Danio rerio: one gene and its partners. The protein of the gene in region 1 interacts with the protein of each later gene in a biochemical or structural test. Links are inferred from orthologs where the notes say so. Each region holds a gene or a part of one and is shown on either strand. Other genes may lie near its edges.

The links.
Region 2: the proteins of cftr (region 1) and caska interact in a test that uses a peptide from one of them, tested with the Homo sapiens proteins (2 studies listed by IntAct, with this or other methods). The link is inferred for Danio rerio from reciprocal best matches to the Homo sapiens genes CFTR and CASK.
Region 3: the proteins of cftr (region 1) and nherf4a form a complex in vitro, tested with the Homo sapiens proteins (2 studies listed by BioGRID and IntAct, with this or other methods). The link is inferred for Danio rerio from reciprocal best matches to the Homo sapiens genes CFTR and NHERF4.
Region 4: of the proteins of cftr (region 1) and stub1, one has a biochemical effect on the other in vitro, tested with the Homo sapiens proteins (4 studies listed by BioGRID). The link is inferred for Danio rerio from reciprocal best matches to the Homo sapiens genes CFTR and STUB1.
Region 5: the proteins of cftr (region 1) and Na(+)/H(+) exchange regulatory cofactor NHE-RF2 form a complex in vitro, tested with the Homo sapiens proteins (4 studies listed by BioGRID and IntAct, with this or other methods). The link is inferred for Danio rerio from reciprocal best matches to the Homo sapiens genes CFTR and NHERF2.

The regions. Positions count from the first base shown.
Region 1 is NC_133193.1:22,064,599-22,068,711, forward strand, and holds the start of cftr (cystic fibrosis transmembrane conductance regulator), read left to right. Parts: upstream 1-1,307; coding exon 1,308-1,360; intron 1,361-4,096; coding exon 4,097-4,113. UniProt on the Homo sapiens protein: Epithelial ion channel that plays an important role in the regulation of epithelial ion and water transport and fluid homeostasis. Mediates the transport of chloride ions across the cell membrane.
Region 2 is NC_133184.1:35,058,373-35,061,890, reverse strand, and holds part of caska (peripheral plasma membrane protein CASK), read left to right. Parts: intron 1-897; coding exon 898-978; intron 979-1,065; coding exon 1,066-1,146; intron 1,147-1,228; coding exon 1,229-1,431; intron 1,432-1,682; coding exon 1,683-1,766; intron 1,767-1,950; coding exon of another isoform or gene 1,951-1,977; intron 1,978-3,518. UniProt on the Homo sapiens protein: Multidomain scaffolding Mg(2+)-independent protein kinase that catalyzes the phosphotransfer from ATP to proteins such as NRXN1, and plays a role in synaptic transmembrane protein anchoring and ion channel trafficking.
Region 3 is NC_133190.1:25,927,878-25,931,395, forward strand, and holds part of nherf4a (Na(+)/H(+) exchange regulatory cofactor NHE-RF4), read right to left. Parts: intron 2,102-3,518; coding exon 1,897-2,101; intron 1,015-1,896; coding exon 878-1,014; intron 472-877; coding exon 267-471; intron 1-266.
Region 4 is NC_133199.1:43,372,095-43,376,117, reverse strand, and holds the start of stub1 (E3 ubiquitin-protein ligase CHIP), read right to left. Parts: upstream 2,805-4,023; 5' UTR 2,559-2,804; intron 1-2,558. UniProt on the Homo sapiens protein: E3 ubiquitin-protein ligase which targets misfolded chaperone substrates towards proteasomal degradation.
Region 5 is NC_133178.1:11,806,908-11,810,425, forward strand, and holds part of Na(+)/H(+) exchange regulatory cofactor NHE-RF2, read left to right. Parts: intron 1-2,018; coding exon 2,019-2,261; intron 2,262-3,518.

The DNA of each region.
Region 1 (4,113 bases):
TAACTTCTTTCTAGTTTGACTTAATAACTATTCTTTATTTTGTTTAATATTGGGATTCAATTAAAAACGTTCAATTTAAAATAACAGTTCCTCATTTTAGTCTTTAGTCCTCTGTGTTATAAGCAGTTATAATGTAATATCAGTCATTCAATAATGGGACTTATTATGAGTGTTTTAAAAGTTTTCATGCTTTTTTGCGGAAATTTTACATTTTACTTTTCAGAATTTTTGGTTGAGTACACTGTAAAAAAATCTTTGTTGCCTTAAAATTTTTAGCTGAATCAATTTAACCTTATGGGTACATTGAACTGATATTATGTTAAACTGACTTAAAACGGCTTGTGAAACGTATAAAATAAAGTAAGAACATGATATAAGTTACAATGACCTAAAACATATGCTGTCAGGAATAATTGATTGTATAATTTTTTACAGTGTAAAATTAGTCAAAAAGCATAAATAAACAAAATGCACGATGATACATGCCTTTTTGTATGAATGAATATATATTTTTAATTTTTTTGTTTACTTTTGAGTAGTATATCATTGTTTCCACAAAGATGCAACATAACTGTTTTCATCATTGATAATAATCAGAAATGTTTCAGCATATTAGGATAATTTCTGAAAGATGATGCAACACTGATGCTGAAAATCCAACACAAGGATAAATAAACACTTTATGATTTATTTTATTTTTAAATTGAAATATATAAATTTGGTTTATTTTAATTAAATAAATTATTATTATTAGTATTATTTTTATTATTATTATTATTATTATTATTATTATTATTATTATTAAACATTTTTAATTTCCGTATTTTTCCCAGTACCAAGCATGATGGAATCAGGAAACAATAGCTTCAAATTAAACAATAGCTGCACTTGACGTTCATGTGTCAAAAGCATTGACGTCCTCCCTCAAACACCACGAGAATTCTCTCATGATGACACACCACTTGCTCTTGTAAAGCAACACGTGAGCATCTCTGTAAAAGACTGACAGTTTGAGGATGACATGCCCAGAGGATCTGTGGCGTTTGGGCTTGAGAGAGCGCACTTCTCTCACTAAATCACAGCAGCGCTCCTGTCACTATGGGCTCTTTATAAGCGCCTTACTTCTCATTAGCGATTTGAGACACGAGAATTTTTCCTTTTATTGTCTAAATACTGGCTGCGAATATCGACGTTATCAGCGCTCGGTCGCGCTCGGTGGAGGAAAGCGATCTTCACTCAGCGGAGAGGCGTTGAGCTGATACCCGTAACCCGATGTGAGCGCTTTCACCCCCGGGGTACTTTTTAGGATGCAGAGATCACCTGTGGAGGATGCCAACTGCCTCTCCAGATACTTCTTTTGGTAAGACTCAATTCTTGAGACCTCTTTTGGGACAACATAATTGTTACATCTTCTTAAATTTGTTGGGAGAGCATATTGTGTGGAATCCTGCATTTTTTTAAGTGTAGATGATTTATTTATTGTATACAGCCTAACAAGACTTGAAACAAAATGCTTAATGACAAGGGTGTTTATAGTAGATATTTGCTTTATTATATGTGATATCTAGCTACCTAGACTGCTCATGATACTGTACATATTTTTCTCCAGATTTGCGAAACAGTTTAACCAAACTGCAGGGCAAAAGTCGGAGTTCTGATATGTTTTGCTGTTCTTTATTGAAGTTTAATCAGAATTATCTGACAATTCTGTTTTTCTCTATTTATTTATTTTTTATTTTTTGATAATTAAATTCTTAGATACAAACTCAAGAGTTCCGACATAAAATGTCAAAACTGCACGATATTGCCTATTGAGAAACTCAGAATTAAAGAAAAAAGTAAGAATTCTGACATTATGCCTCAAAATTCTCTGGTTTTTCTTGCAGTTCTGACATTATAATTCAGAATTTTTGCAATGAAATTCTTACTGTTTTTTAAACTTTATTGTGATATCTACTTATTGCATATGACATTCGTAACTTGTTTCAGAATTGCACAATGTAGCCTAAACTTGAAAGTGCTGGAAAAAGCTCTAATATTATATCTCATAATCCTGACTTTTTTGAGATTTTTAATTAGAAAAGTATAAGTGTATATATGGGCGTCATGGTGGCGGAGTGAGTAGCATGATAGCCTCACAGCAAGAAGGTCACTGGTTCAAGCCCTGGCTGGGTCAGTTGGCATTTTCGTGTAGAGTTTGCATGTTCTCCCCGTGTTGGCTTGGGTTTCCTTCAGGTGCTCTGGTCTCCCCCACAAGACCAAAGACATGCACTAAATGTGAATTGAATAAGCTAAATTGTTCGTTGTGTATGTGTGTGATTGAGAGTGTATGGGTGTTTCCCAGTTTTTGGTTGCGGCTGGAAAGGCATCCGCTGCGTAAAACATGCTGGTTCAGTTGATGGTTCATTCCGCTGTGGCGATTCCCTAATTAATAAAGGGACTAAGCCAAAAAAAAAAAAAAATGAATGAATGAATAAGTATTATAATTCTGTTTTTCTTTTTTGTTAACTAAATTGTGAAATATTAATTAAGTTGTGAGAAAAATGTCAGAACTGCAATATACTGCTTAGATTTGGAAATTCAAATAAACAATAAACTCTGAAATAAAGAGAAGAGTTTTAATTTCTGAGATTATACCTCAAAATTCCAAATTGTTCATCTTCCTTGATTGTAATATTTCTTCCTCAAGATTCTGTGTTTACATCTCAAAATTGAGACTTTTTTCTTGCAATTGTGGCTATTTTGATTGTACATGATTACATTCATAAAAAGGTTTCAGAATGGTATGTCTGACAATTTTCAAACATACCTTCTTGATTTTGTTCACCACACTGATCTAAACTCAACTTTAGACTTGGACTTTACTAGAACTATGTGAAGCTGCTTTGACACAATAAAAGCACTATAAAAATAAACATGAAGTAATTGAATTGAAACATTAGTTATTAACTCAAATATTGCTCATATTCAGAAATGTAGATGTACAATAAAGAAAAAAGTTAGAATTCTGAGATTATATCTGAAAATTCTGACTTTATCTCCCACAATTCTGATAATTTTTCTCAAGATTCAATAAGTCAGAATGGTGTACAGTTTGACCATTTATCATTTTAAATTGCAAGATAAAAATTCATAAATCAGAAAAGTCAGAATTCGAGATATAAGATGTAAACTCACACTTTTTTAGAAGAAGTAGGTAGTGCTGTTCACAGTAAGAAGATCGCTGGTTCGAGCCTCGGCTGGGTCAGTTGACGTTTGTGTGTGGAGTTTGCATGTTCTCCCTGTTTTCGCCTGGGTTTCCTCCGGGTGTTCCGACTTCCCCAACAGTCCAAAGACACGCGGTACGGGTGAATTGGGTAGGCTAAATTGTCCGTAGTGTATGTGTGTGTGAATAAGTGTGCATGTGTTTCCCAGTGATGGGTTGCAGCTGGAAGGCCATCTGCTGCATAAAACATATGCTGGATAAGTAGGCGGTTCATTCTGCTGTGGTGACCCCAGATTAATGAAGGGACTAAGCCGAAAAGAAAATGAATAAATGAAGTCAAAATTGTAAGTAAAATGCCGCAATTAAAAGTTTTACATTTTCATGGTTGAAATAGGTTTTCATAATTTTTATATTAACATATTTCAACAGTTTTTATCAATCTTTTTTCAACCTCAAAAGTTACATTACAGTTATTGCAACAAGAATATCACAGATTGAAAAACAGAAATTGGGTTGCCTCGAGGAGATAATCACGGCAACAATACACTGCCACTTCTCTTTGAGATCAGTATTCAATTATGTTTAAAGGCATCGTTACTTAGATTTGCATAACACAAAGACCACAAAAATCACTAAAAGTTGCATAACACAATAACCACAATAATAAAAGAAAGCTGCATAACACCATGACCACAAAAATCACAAAAAGTTGTTTGAGTTGCATTAAAGTACAATGTTTGTGTGAGAACAACAAGGTTATTTGAATTGTCTAAGGACCAGTCGTGACTCTAGAATGTTTCTGTGCTGAAACCAACAATAATCATGAAAATAACTACACTTAACTGTCCTCATAGTAAATAAATATTGTACATCTGCTCTGAATATTTACAGGTGGACAAACCCTATTA
Region 2 (3,518 bases), on another chromosome or scaffold:
GCAATTCATTCATAGCTTAACATTAAAACTGCTGTCATAACATTATTTATTAATTTGTGGAACTTTTTGGACTCTGAAATTTAAAAATGTACAACTGAAAATACGGTAGAACCATTTTTATTGTTTACATCCCTCAGTCTATTGATGTAAACATACAACCAAGTTTGCTGTAGTCTTAATCTCAGGTGATGACTGAAATAAAGTTGATAATCTTCAATCTCATTTGTAGCTTTTAAATCTCATTGTGCATGCCCAGAAGATGCATTAGTATTAACCTTTATTTTAGATCACAATAATCACAATTTTTTCATAGAAATTTAGAATTTTATTCAAATGAATGTCTGAACTTTCTACTCATCTAACAAATTTAGTGTAATTTATATGATTTTTCTTAGATTTCAACAAATGCTCTGTACTAAAAAGCTCTGTAAATGTGAATTAAAATAAAAAAAATAAATATTGAATGTATTGAAATTGTTGAACTGAATTTTAGTTTGACTGAAATTATAATAAAAATGAAGTAAAAATAGAGAAAAGGAGCATGAGAAATGTCTCCGAGGTTGATTTTGGTGACAGGTTTGAATAGGCTGAGTGTGAATGTTTTTTTCTCTGTGTGCTGCATTGGAAGAGAGCGATAAATGAAGCCTCCATGCTGCAGTGGAGATTGATGACAGTCAGACACCATATCAAATCACCCATCAGGCCTGTAACTTTGCATAAGCAGCCAAAACACATGCACACAGTCCTCATAGTCTGAGAGAAAACCCAAACACTACTAATGGCGTTACCCCCCAAAAAACTCTCTTTTTGTTCTCTTTTTTTATTTAAATAACCACATACCACATATTTACAATCAATTCTTCCTCTCTATTAAATAACAATCTTTGTTTTTTCTAGTGTTTGATCAACTAGATCTTGTCACATATGAGGAGGTAGTGAAGTTGCCGGCGTTCAAGAGGAAAACATTAGTTTTACTAGGTGAGTATGTTGATCAGAGTTCTTAATCATTGCTTGTTGTCATAAAGCACACGTCTCTTACATTCATGGTTTGTTGCTGACCGGCAGGTGCTCACGGTGTTGGCCGAAGACACATCAAGAACACACTCATCACCAAACACCCAGACAGATTTGCTTATCCCATTCCACGTAAGCAGCTTTCTCAAAATCTTTATTATTGTGCACCAGTCCTGATCAGTGGGTAAACACAAACTTATTTCTGCTCCAAAAGACACAACCAGACCTCCAAAGAAAGATGAAGAGAACGGCAAGAATTATTTCTTTGTTTCACATGACCAAATGATGCAGGACATCTCCAACAACGATTACCTGGAGTACGGCAGCCACGAGGACGCGATGTACGGCACACGGCTGGAGACGATACGCAAAATCCATGAGCAGGGACTCATAGCCATACTGGACGTAGAGCCACAGGTGAACGTTTAGAGATTTTTAATGAGAGAAGTTGCTCATACAGTAACCTTGTTGATCATTTTAGCTATGCAATACCATTAATGGATTTCCAGAAATATGCTTTGGTTTTTGGTGTTTATTTCAAAGACCTAGATTTTGTGATCAGCAACACAAAGGCGCTATGGGGTTTTCAGCACAGCACAGCAACACTCTTTATGCTGGCTTAAGAATGTAATGCATTCCTTAGTCTTGTGTTGTTTGATTCTCTTCAGGCACTGAAGGTTTTACGGACAGCTGAATTTGCTCCCTATGTGGTTTTCATAGCTGCACCAACTATCACTCCTGGCATGAATGAGGTGAGATCAGAATCCAAAATACATGGACTTCTCAAAAGGCCACGGCATGAGTCACTTCACTGGCAGAATAACTCCATCTAACTTCTTTCCTTCTTTGTCTTCAGCTGATCTGTTTTCTGTTTTGCATGCATCGTGTTTTAGCATGTATTTTAATTTCTTCTACCTTTCCCTACATCTCGCTCAGCTTCCCAGATGGTGCAGGAAGCTGCCTGTGAGTATGAGGCTGTCAGCTTAGATCCCAAAATACCTCCATTCATGACCTCTGTAGCTAAGGTCAAACGGACAGTTGGCTGTTTTTAAGAAAACCCTGTTCCATTACCTGTCGGAGCTGTACTACTGTTCAAAAGTTTAGTTTTATAAAAGAAGTTATTACTTTTATTTAGCAAATATGCATTGCATTGATCACATTTAACAGCAAAAACATTTATAATGTTACAAAAATAAATAGTTTTATAATGCTTCATAAAATGTAAAGTGTTTTTAAATGTTATTAGAATGATTTCTGTAGGATTGTGGGACACTAAAAACTTGGAGTAATGATGCAGACTATTCAGCTTTGTTATCACAGAAATAAAGTCAACTTAAAAAAAAAATCGAAGACTGTTTTACATTTTAAATTGCTAAATAAATTCACAGTATTTTCATGTATTTTTGATCGAATAAATCCAGACCCTATGAGCGTAAGCGATATTGCTTAAAAACATTATTAAATTTTATTGTCCCCAAACTTTTGAACAGTAGTGTATATATAAACAAGTTCCATCATTCCCTACTGCCTAATGCCCTGTTTATAGATCTTCATGTACTTTAGGGATCAAAAGGGTTGAATGTAAAGTTGTACATGTGGAATTCTCAAACCCTTGTTATTAGCAATGGGTGTTAAGTCTACTGCAGTTTTTAAGAGATAGTTCACCCGAATGTTCTCTCATTAATTACTCATCCTCATAATGTTCCATACACCTCAGACTTTTTTTTTCATCCTCAGAACACAACTGAATGCATTTCAATTCAAATTGAATGGTTTTCTGCCTCTACAACTTCACTTTTAAGGCCCAGAAGGATACAGTAATAAGAGCATCACTGAGTCAGGCCCTGATTACACTATGTTTTAGTTTTAAAACAATCGGCGTCCACACTGGCTTTTCACTTAGTGTTTCTGAAAAGATCTCTGTCCACACTACATTGCGAAAAACGCACATCACGGGACCACACACACTCTGGTATGCACTGCAGCCTATGCAGACGTCTGAGCTCTAGGCAGTCAGCGGGTGCTTTGAGCACACCTCCCACATTGTGTTTGTTTTATTTCAGATCATTCATCATTTTTATTTTTATTTAGAACTGTAATGCACTCCAGAATCTGACAGATTTATTAGCTGTAGGCTCTAGAACAATCATCTGAAGTGTTGTCATACAGTGTTATGCCTGGATTTCATCTGTATTTTGCAGCCTTGCATTTACTAACGCAGACTGATAAGTGTTTGGATGTAATTTGCGTTTTCCTCTTGTTAAAAAACGTCATAAGAACAATGTTTAGTGGCACAATGTGTTACAATAGTGTTTTTAAAAGTCTAAACACTTTATTGATAAAGTCTATAACCAAGCACATGTGGTCAGAACACAAACGAGTCGCAGGTAATGAAATATTAACCGTGTCTGTAGCTCCGCCTCTTCGCCCTTATTTGTTATGCCCTCGTTGGTGCGATGAATTGCGAACAAAATGGCGACGGTTGGCCACGCCTACTGGTAGCT
Region 3 (3,518 bases), on another chromosome or scaffold:
ATTGAGTTGCTGCCATGATTAGCTCATTAAAAATTTGCGTTAACAAGCAGTTGGACAGGTGTACCTAATAAAGTGGCCGATGAGTGTATTTAGAAATACACATAAAAAATGCACATTAAATATATGAATATATCACAGATAGTAAACATATAAATACTAAATAAATTGTTTTTTTCTAATTTTTTGTAAACATTTTTAAAATGATGACGTTATAAAAATACTAAATTGTATTTTAGTTATAACCAAAGTTTTAGTAAACCTCTCACCAATGCGTCCTGATCGTAACTTCTCTTGCCTTAAGAGGAAGCCGTATCCCTGTGGTCCTTGAGTCAGGTGGAGTGTTTTTGGTCTGTAGGGCAGATTATGGGTTTCGGCAAAAGCAGGAATTATGGGTAATCCCATGCGATTATAAATCTCTTCACTCCTGCTGTCAATTACCAAGACGGTCAGATGCTTTTCACATTTCTTCACCTAGTGAGAAAAAAAAGGAAAACTCTAGCAATTCTGGTAGATAACAGACCCCTTTTTCCTACACCCCATAATGCTTAGTGTGAATTTTAATAGTAACTTCCGTTAAACTGTTTGTAATGAACTGTAAAACTGAATTGTTACACCAATTATTGTAAGACTTATTATAATAACAGCTTATTAGAATATACAACTAACTATCAACACATCATGAGTAACCTCCAAAAACTCTAAACAATAGTCTTTTCAAACCAATGAACACAGATGTAAATTACTGTACTATTGGGAATGCAAAGAGAAAATAATCAAAAACTAAACACAATGAACTCAAAACAGTTTTGATATGCTTGTGGCAATACAAATGTGCCGATAAAATACCATAAAAGATATTTATTAGGAGCACGCTTACCATTTTGGCCAGTGCTGCATATGAGATGACAGAAATCGAGACTCCATTGATCCAGATGAGCCTGTCTCCATTCTGGATGCCTGCTCTTTCCGCTGGACCATCAGTCACTGGGTTCAGGCGATATCGGCCTCGCGCTCCTGATCACACATATTCCATTAAATAAACAAGAGCTCACCAAAATCATTCATATAGAGTTGAAGTCAGAATTATTAGCCCCCCTGAATTATTAGCACCCCTGTTTATTTTTTCCCCCCAATTTCAATAATTCTGACTTCAACTGTATATATATATATATATATATATATATATATATATATATATATATATATATATATATATATATATATATACTGTTGAAGTCAGAATTATTAGCCGCCCTGAATTATTAACGCCCGTTTTTTTGTTTTTTTTCCCAATTACTGTTTAATGGAGGGAAGATTGTTTCAGCACATTTCTAAGCATAATAGTTTTAAAAACTTATTTCTAAAAACTGATTTATTTTCTCTTTGTCATGATGTCAGTAAATAATATTTTAGTGACAAAAGTGACATTTAAAGGCTTAACTAGGTTAATTAGGTTAACTAGGCAGGTTAGGGTAATTAGGCAAGTTGTTGTATGATGATGGTTTGTTCTGTAGATTATTGGAAAAAATTTGCTTAAAGGGGCTAATAATTTTGTCACAAAAATGGTTTTTAAAAAAATATATAACTGCTTCTTTTCCAGTCGAAACAAAACAAATAAGACTTTCTCCAGAAGAAAAAATATTATCAGACATACTGTGAAAATTTCTCTGCTCTTTTAAACATCATTTGGGAAGTATTTAAAAAAGAAAAAAAAAATTAAAAGGGGGCTAATAATTCTGACTTCAACTGTATATATATATATATATATATATATATGAATTATTCATTCATTTATTGATTTTTCTTTGGCTTAGTCCCTTATTCCAGTGCTTTAACTTATTTCACAATTGCTTAAAAATATTAGCAAGTCAAAAAAGTGAGCGACAGAAGCAGTACCTTCAATGGGAATGATGCTGAGGCCCAAACCACAGCCAGGCTCTTTAGTGATGTGGCATAACCGCGGGCGAGAGCAGCCCTCAGGACGATAAGATCTGGCAACGGACAAAAGGTCTCTTCCCTCTGAAACTGCAAACTCATAATCTTGAGCACTCAGAACTAACAGATAGAGCTTTAATCCAGACGCCTGCACCTTCAGCACCACCTGAAAACAACACACAGCTCAATATACACACACTAGTAAAGAGTGTTGGGGGTAATGAATTACAAGTAGCGCGAGTTAACAAGTAAATCAATGCATTACTTTCAAAAAATAAGTAGAAATATTTAAGTTATTTTTTTTATTAATTAGCTTTTAAAAAATAAGTTGCTGAATTGAAATGAAAGTAGTCACGATGAATCAAGCAGTCAATGAGAGCATGTGTTCATTATTTTGAGTGCATCTGAAAAAAAGGGGGATTTTACCCAAGGCTTTCACTCAACTGGTACAAAAGTAGCAAATACATTGCTTTAAATGTTTAATAATCTGTATATATGGCATGTATAGCTCTGGGGTCATGAGGTTCTCAGATAACATTATCCTAAAATATATATATCATTTTTTTAGGTGTTTTTTAAAGGTAAATGAAGGTGTAGGTTATACAGTGCGTTGTTAATAGCAGAACTCCTCTATTTAAAAAAAAAAAAAAAAAAAAGTCAGTTCTGTGGAGTTTTCATGTTCTCCCCGTGCCTGTGTAGGTGTCCTCCGGGTGCTCCGGTTTCCCCCCACAGTCCAAAGACAAGTGGTAGGTGAATTGAATAAGCTTGGCTGTGGAGCAAATGAGTGAATGCAAAAATGTATTGGTATTTCCCAGTGCTGAGTTGCGGCTGGAAGAGCATCCGCTGCGTAATATCATATGCTGGAAAAGTTAGTGGTTCATTATGTTGTGGCGACCCCAGATTAATAAAGGGACTAAGCTGAAAAGAAAATGACTGAATGTATATTTGTAATGGTATAACAGGTACACAGTAATAAGGACACTGTGAATTAACATTTTTGTCACTTACACTTATGTCAAGATTTGGTGATTTAATCGTACCTGCAGCCATGGTGGCGATACTCGAATGTAAACATTATCATTGCACGGTTATTGTACTACACATCATTCTGCCCATTTATGCTGTCTAAACCATATAGAGATTAAAGACTTACCAAGCAGGAAACTGAATTGAATTAGTGGTAAGAATTATGTATGACAGGTATTAATTAAGATATTAATGCCTTGGAAATCCTGAATCCTGAATCAGTATGGTCCAACACAAACATCTTTTGTTCCTCAGATTTTTATTAATTTATTTTTTTTTTATACCTTTTGGCAGTTTATACACTCAGAAGTAAAGATACGTGAGCTGTCCCTGGGGTGGTACCTTTTTTGAAAGATCCATATTAATACCTCAAGGGTACATATTAGTACCTATAATATATACTTTTGAGGGACCAATATGGACCCTTCAAGTACAAATGTGTACCTTACCCATCCAGCTGCGACCCAGTACTGGGGACCTCCAGGCCGACTTATGATTGGCTATAAAGTCAAACATTATGACACTCTATATAAAATGTGAACTTCTGAGTGTATTGT
Region 4 (4,023 bases), on another chromosome or scaffold:
CGTATCCTGAGCAGATATCAGGGCCGGAGTGGGACTCATTTTCAGCCCTGGAGTTTCAAGCCAGACCAGCCCACCTCGACTGATTACATTAAAATAAGGTCATTTCCAATTCAGTTTCTAATGACACTATCACATCTTTTTTGAGAAAACAGCTGCTTTAGAAATTCAAATGTTCAACAACCCTTACAGTATTATGTCATAAAAACGAAAAATAATAATAATAATTTTTCAGGTGAGATTCGAACATGGGTCGGAAGTTTCGCAACGCAACGTGCTTTCCACTGGACCACAATGGCGCTATTCCAGTGGGAATAAAAAATAAAGATTACACTGTGAACGGCAAGACATAGTATTACTTTGATGGCTAAATCATTTTCTCCTTTTAGATTTCTGATCAAGTTTTGTCAGATTTAATGTAGTAAATCATCTGATTTTCATTGAGCAGGTGTATTATTCATTAATATTAATTATTCAAATTCTTATAATCACTAAGGTGCCACTGTTTGGGGTCGAATGATTAGTTACATCATCATTAACGTTAGTAAACCTGCAGGCTGCATTTTGCTCACGGAGCAGCAAGAAAAAAAATAAATAAAAAGAGCGGCGCTGCGGCAAAATAATGAAAAACAAAAAAAAAGAGTGAGGCTATGGTCAAATTAATAAATAAATAAATGAAAAAAGTGTGACTGCTGAGAGTGCAAGCAGCTAGGGACACTGGCCCTCACGGCCAAAAAACGGACCGACCCACCAGGAATTCTCTCGGTTCGCCAATCCGGGCCTGGCAGATATTGTGGTTGTCATGGAGGAGCTGAGAGCATAAGACTGATGCCTGAATCACCCCAGTGACAAACAAGTCCTCACATTTATCAAGTGGGCCAGCCTGAACACACGCCGGTGACCTACTCACACTTGCATCTTCTCCACGATGGACATCCAGCGTTCTCCAGCCTCCGGCGCCTAGACTGCTTTTCTGCAGTTTGGTCAGAGGAGAAATGGTCGTGCCCAACAGAGCCGGTTTCTCTCCAGGTTTTTTCCTTCACTTCAATCACGTCAATTGGTGAAGATTGTTCCTTCGCTGTTGCCACTGGCTTGCTTGGTTTGGGAATTGTGGAGCTGCGCATCGATGGATTTGCTCTTCAGTGTTTGAACTCTCAGTATTGAATATTAAACCACACTGAACTAATCTAAACTGAACTCCAACTCTGAAAACTGGACTGACAGTTTACACTATCACTATATCACTATAATCTTCTATGTTAAGCTGCTTTAACACAATCTGCATTGTAAAAGCGCTACAGAAATCAAGATATTTTTCAATTAGCTACAGAACAAACCATCATTATACAATGACTTGCCTAGTTAACATAATTAAGCCTTTAAATGCTGAATACAAGTATCTTGCAAAAACTTGCACGACCCTCAATTGGTACTAATGGACCCAAAGTGTGCTAAAAAAATCTCCCCCACACCAATACACCACCACCACCAGCTTAAACCGCTGACACAAGGAAGGATGGATTCATGCTTTTATGCTGTTGACGTCAAATTCTGACCCGAGCATCTGAATGTGTCAGCAGAAATGGAGACTCATCAGAGCAGGCAACGTTTCTCCAATCTTCTATTGTCCAGTTTTGGTGAGTCTGTGTGAATTGTAGCCTCAGTTTCCTGTTCTTAGCTGACAGGAGCGGCACCCGGTGTGCTCTTCTGCTGCTGTAGCCCATCCGCCTCAAGGTTGGACGTGTTGTGTGTTCAGAGATGCTCTTCTGCAGACCTTGGTTGTAACGAGTGCTTATTTGAGTTTCTGTTGCCTTTCTATCAGCTGGAACCAGTCTGGCCATTCTCCTCTGACCTCTGGCATCAACAAGGCATTTGTGCTCACAGAACTGCCGCTCACTGGATATTTCCACTTTGTCGGAGAATTCTCTGTAAACCCTAGAAATGGTTGTGCGTGAAAATCCCAGTAGATCAGCAGTTTCTGAAATACTTAGACCAGCATGTCTGTTATCAACATCCATGCCACGTTCAAAGTCACTCAAATCCCCTTACTTCCTCATTCTGATGCTCGGTTTGACCTGCAGCAGATCGTCTTGACCATGTCTACATGCCTAAATGCATTAAGCTCCTGTCGGTGAGTGTATACTCTACATTTTTCTGATTTTGATTGAAATGTATTAACGTGCACCTTTTGTAGAGCTGCTGTTCATATAGTAGAAATGATTAAAATGAATTGTTTAATGTACATCACACACACACACACACACATCTGGACAACAGTAACACACATCTGGACACTGACAGTTGTGTGAAATCATTCATGACTCTTTATGCAGCTCTGTGAACTTAAAACACACACAATCCAACAGTTAATCACTAAAATTAAGCACTACCAACGAGTAAATGTAATTTCACGTCGATCAGAAATTAAACTCCTGTGCCTGACACATAAGCACATTCACACACACTTTACAAGCTAACAACCAGGTCAGCGCTGAGAATAAACACGCTTAGAGATTAAATCAGATGGTTTGAATATGAAATATGGATTATTTGAGGCGTACCGGGTTTGACTGCTGGACTGACGCCTGTCGTTAGCAAACCGGTAGCGACACTGGTGCTTTGATGATCACTTTTGGATCCCTGATAGCGAATGAAACGCGGCCAAACTCATATTCCGACTCGATCATGACATTAAGATGACAAATGTCCGACGTTTTCATCGGCGATCCTCAAAAACACGACATTTTACCCGCGGGTGTGAGACGCTAGCATCATGTTTCGGTTGTTTTGACTCTGCCGTCACTGTGACGTCGCCGGAGGTGACGATCGGAAGCTCGTTGCCAACGTAATAACGCCACCTGTCGGCGACGTGCAGGAGTTTAATTTCATAATAATAATAATTAGATAAAATATATAAATAAATATGAAAACAGTTATAATAATAATGCTTGATTATTATCATTATTTATTCTACATTTTACACGTTTTTTTCCGGTTACACATTTTAAAAAGTGTTCTAGAAAAGCATGTAATAAAAATATAAATAACTGACTTAATTTCTACTTCAGCATATAATTTTGAGCTTTCTAATGACTTTTAATTCTTATGACTTTAATACCTTATTTATAATTTTGACCTTTAAGTAACAGAGTAAGCCATAATTGCTCATTTTTTATTAAGAATTACAAAAAAAGTCTTAATTTCTTCTTTAAATATTTTTTTTCATGTAGTTATAGAATTTAGCTATATAATTTAATATAAAAATACATCAAATGTCTTTAATTCTCCTGTAAAAATGTGCATTTTGTATTTAATTTTTGTTTAGAGACATTTTAGAGTCACCCTAAAAAGCTGCATCATATTTTAGGTGCAAAACAATGAGTTTGCTAAAATGATGTGAATAATTTAATAATAAACATACTCAAATTCAGATTGCAATATAATTTCTTGCTGAACACCAAACACATTCAGAAAAATAATATATTAACATTAAAGAACAGTAAAAGAGTCACCAAACACCATTTCAGTTCATAAACCATATAATGCACTTAAATGAGGACAACATGAACAGTCGACAAGTAAGACAAGTAGAAAAAATACATGAATCAAAATGTGAATAATTATGATGATAATATATAATTCATTAGTGTTATCATCATTTTTACTCTACATTTTAGTTTTTTTGTGATTATTAATTTTAAAACTTTAAAAATGTTCAAGATAATGTGCTTTCTTATCACTTCTAATTTTGATTTAGGTATAACATTTCTTTTTTTTAATACCCTATTTATAATTTTGACCTTTAAATAACTCAGAGTAAGCCATAATTGCTCATTTTAATTAACATTTATGAAGAATGCCGTCATTTCTTCTTTAAATTTTTTTTTCATGTAATTACATAATTTAGTCATAGACTTTATTATAAAAATAAGTCAAATGTCTCTAATTCTTCTGTAAAAATGTGAATTTTGTATTCAGTTTTTGTTTAGAGATATTTTAAAGTCCCCCCAAAATAGCTGCATCATA
Region 5 (3,518 bases), on another chromosome or scaffold:
AACTGTCACTGGGTCACTGACAGAGACAGAAACATCAAGTGTTGTCTAGTATTAAAAACATACTTCTTATTTATTATTATCATTCAGATCGTGAAATATGTGAATTTTGTGATTTGTAATTCGTGAAATGTGATTTTAAGACATTGATTTTAACATATAAAGCGGTTCATGGTTCGGCTCCAGTCTACGCTCTGCCTTGAGTCTTACGCTGTTTCAGCCTCGCTGCAAACTCAGCACCATGGGAGGTAGGCCATTCTCTTTCCGTGCTCCCAAACTGTGGAATGCTCTTCCCACTAACATTAGGAGTGCCGGATCATTTGATGCTTTTAAAAAGCTACTTAAAACTCATCTTTTTAGGTCTGTTTTTAATTTGTGATATCTTTTATTCTTACTGTGTTTTTTTATTGCATTTTTTTAATTGTTTACTTGCTTTGTTGTTTTTACTTTCTTGTAAGCGCTTTGGGTTTTAGAAAAGCATGTTATAAATAAAATGTATTATTATTATTATTATTATTATTATTATTATTATTATTATTATTATTATTATAACTATTATTATTATTATTATTATTATTATTATTATTATTATTATTATTATTATTATTAATAATTAGCCTGTAAGTTTAAAAATATATATTTATAAATGTGTCATTTAATTAGAAAAGTGGCAGTTTACTTATTTAATACATGGAAACAAAAAATGAATATAGAAGGGTTTTTTTACTACAGTAAACAGGGGGGTTGAGCCTATTTGGCATATTCAGAACTCAAATGGTTACTGTATGTCTGTCTATGTAATACAGTGGAGTACTAGCATACAAAAACACATTTCTACTCATTTATTCATTTTCTTTTGAGCTTTGTCCCATTATTAATCTGGGGACAGTGGAATGAACCGCCAACTTATCCAGCATATGTTTTACGCAGTGGATGCCCTTCCAGCTGAAACCCATCACTGGGAAACACATTTCTACTTTAAAGAGGAAAAAAAAATACAAAAGAAAAATACCAAACAAGTTCATAACATAGTTGATCAAGAGTGCCTTTCAGACAGAGGTTCAGCAGCATTTGTTCTTTTTAAAAGGGAAATACTTAGCTAATATGATGCTTAGATTTACATTAGACAAATACAGTTTTTGTAAACGTATTGTTATTTATTTATTATAAATAAATAAATAAATGTATTTATAAATTTATTTATTTATGTATTTATTTATTTTTTATTAATTAATATTTATTAAATTTATTTATTTATTTATTTATGTATTTATTTATTTATTTATTTATTTATTTATTTATTTATTTATGTATTTGTACATAACATTAATTAATAAATTAATTTATTAATACATTTATGTATTTATTTATTTTTAATTAATTAATTAATTATTAAATTTATTTATTATGCATGTATGTATGTTTGTATTTATTTATTAATTAATTAATTTATTTATTTATTCATTCATTTATTAATTCATTGTTCTGTCATTTGTTTTCAGTGTAAAATTATTACTTATTACTAGGGCCAGACAGAATCTGCGGACGTTTTTTGCTATTTCTGCGGAGAATTTTGGTAAAAATCTGCAGATTTCTGCGGAATTATTTTGGGAGTATCCAGCGGAGTATCATAACTAAAGCCTTAATATATGAAATAAAAAGTAATAATTTACTGAACAAAAACTGAATAAATGTAGATTTACACATTTACTCAAGTAAATAAACTGAATTAATGATGGGCTAGAAATCTGCGGAAAATCTGCGGAATTCTGCACGCGCAGATTCTGTGTGGGGCTACTTATTACTTACAACTAGTAGTGTTTTGAAATTAATGAATGTATAATCTAGACAACTGTGATTATTCCTCAGACTATACATGTACAATCAAAAACTGTAATCGTTGCATCCCTATAATACACTTTAGTATGGTTCAAAAACACTTTACTATTAAATAATATAGTATTTCTTAATGTGGGGACCCATAAGCAGTTTTTCTAAATGTGCATTTCTCTTGTCTTCAGGTGGTGCAGCGGATTAAAGCTGTGGAACATGAGACCAGACTGCTGGTGGTTGACAGAGAGACTGATGAGTATTTCCGCAGTCTTCGTCTCACCTGCACTGAGGAAATGGCCATCCGGACGAGCCCCACAGCCACGACCCCTTCACCCTCACCCTCCACCAGTAAACAGGGCAATGGATCAGTGTCCAAACGGAGCGAGATCTCCAAACCCATCAGGAAACCTCCGTCACGAGCTCTCAAGAAGGTGCGGAATCCTCTACATACACTCTTAGAAAAATGATAAAGATTCTATTTTAGAATCCATGTTCCAAATCTGTCATTCCATTTCCATTCTTTGGAGTTTTAAAAATGTTCTTTACAGAATGTACTTTTCGCTGAAAGTTCTTTGGACAACCAAGGATGGTTCTTCTATGACTATAGCTATGTTTTTATCCACCTTATTTTTATGCACATCAGTTAAGGTTAAGGTTAGGGCTGGGGTTAGGACATACATTTTGAAAATACGCTCAAAACACTAATGCTCTTTAATGAGTAGGAAACTTTTTACTCAATATAAATAAAATAGCAAGTCATTTATTCTATAAGGAAAAAAGTCTTCAGTGGCTTCTAATATATCACAGCAAATTCCGTTTTTCTTTTTGATATTTACCGCCACTTTATCAGGTAATTATGATTTAGTTCACTTTGAGTCACTGGATGTAAACGGTGTTAAATTTGCAAATGATTTACTTGATGTTCCAGTTTGGGCACAAGTTTAATTCACATCTTTAGATGGAAACATAGCTAATGTTATGTAAACATGCTTTTGGAACATCATTAAAGTGGTCTGTTTTGCCGTCGTCTGATATTAGCTTTCAAGTAGTGTGCAATGTAGCTGTTTTTCTATATGAAGAAGCAATTCTGAACTGCTGAAATGAGTCCTCAGCAACACACATATGTAGATTTTTATAGTTTTGCATAAAGCCAGTCGTCATAAAGTTGGTGAATGTCCCTTAAACTCTGCAGCTGTAGATGATGTCTGGAAGAGTTTAGTTTGTCTTGTGTTGAGAAGGATGCTGTTTTCTGTGCCTGCATCACATCTAAATGATAGGAATTTGGTTTGGTTGATATGGTAAAACCAACACCATCATTACTGTTTGTAAAACTGTTTGTAAAACTTTATTCATGCCAAAATTAAAAGTCTTTTGAAGCAGTGGTTCCCAACCTGTTTTTGCCTGAGACCCCCTTTTCCCCCCTGAAAATATTGTAAGCCCCTCTCCACATTTAATGATATAATCGCTCATATAAGTTTGCAGTAATGATGATAAAAATGTTGTTTTCAAACAAATGGTATGTTTATTACTATATGTAGATATTTTTATGCATTAAGATAAGCCTAATGTTTTCCCAGTGAAGGGTTGCAGCTGGAAGGGCATCCGCTGCGTAAAACATGTGCTGGATAAGTTGGCGGTTCATTCCGCTGTGGCGACCCCGAATTAATAAAGGAACTGAGCCAAAAAGA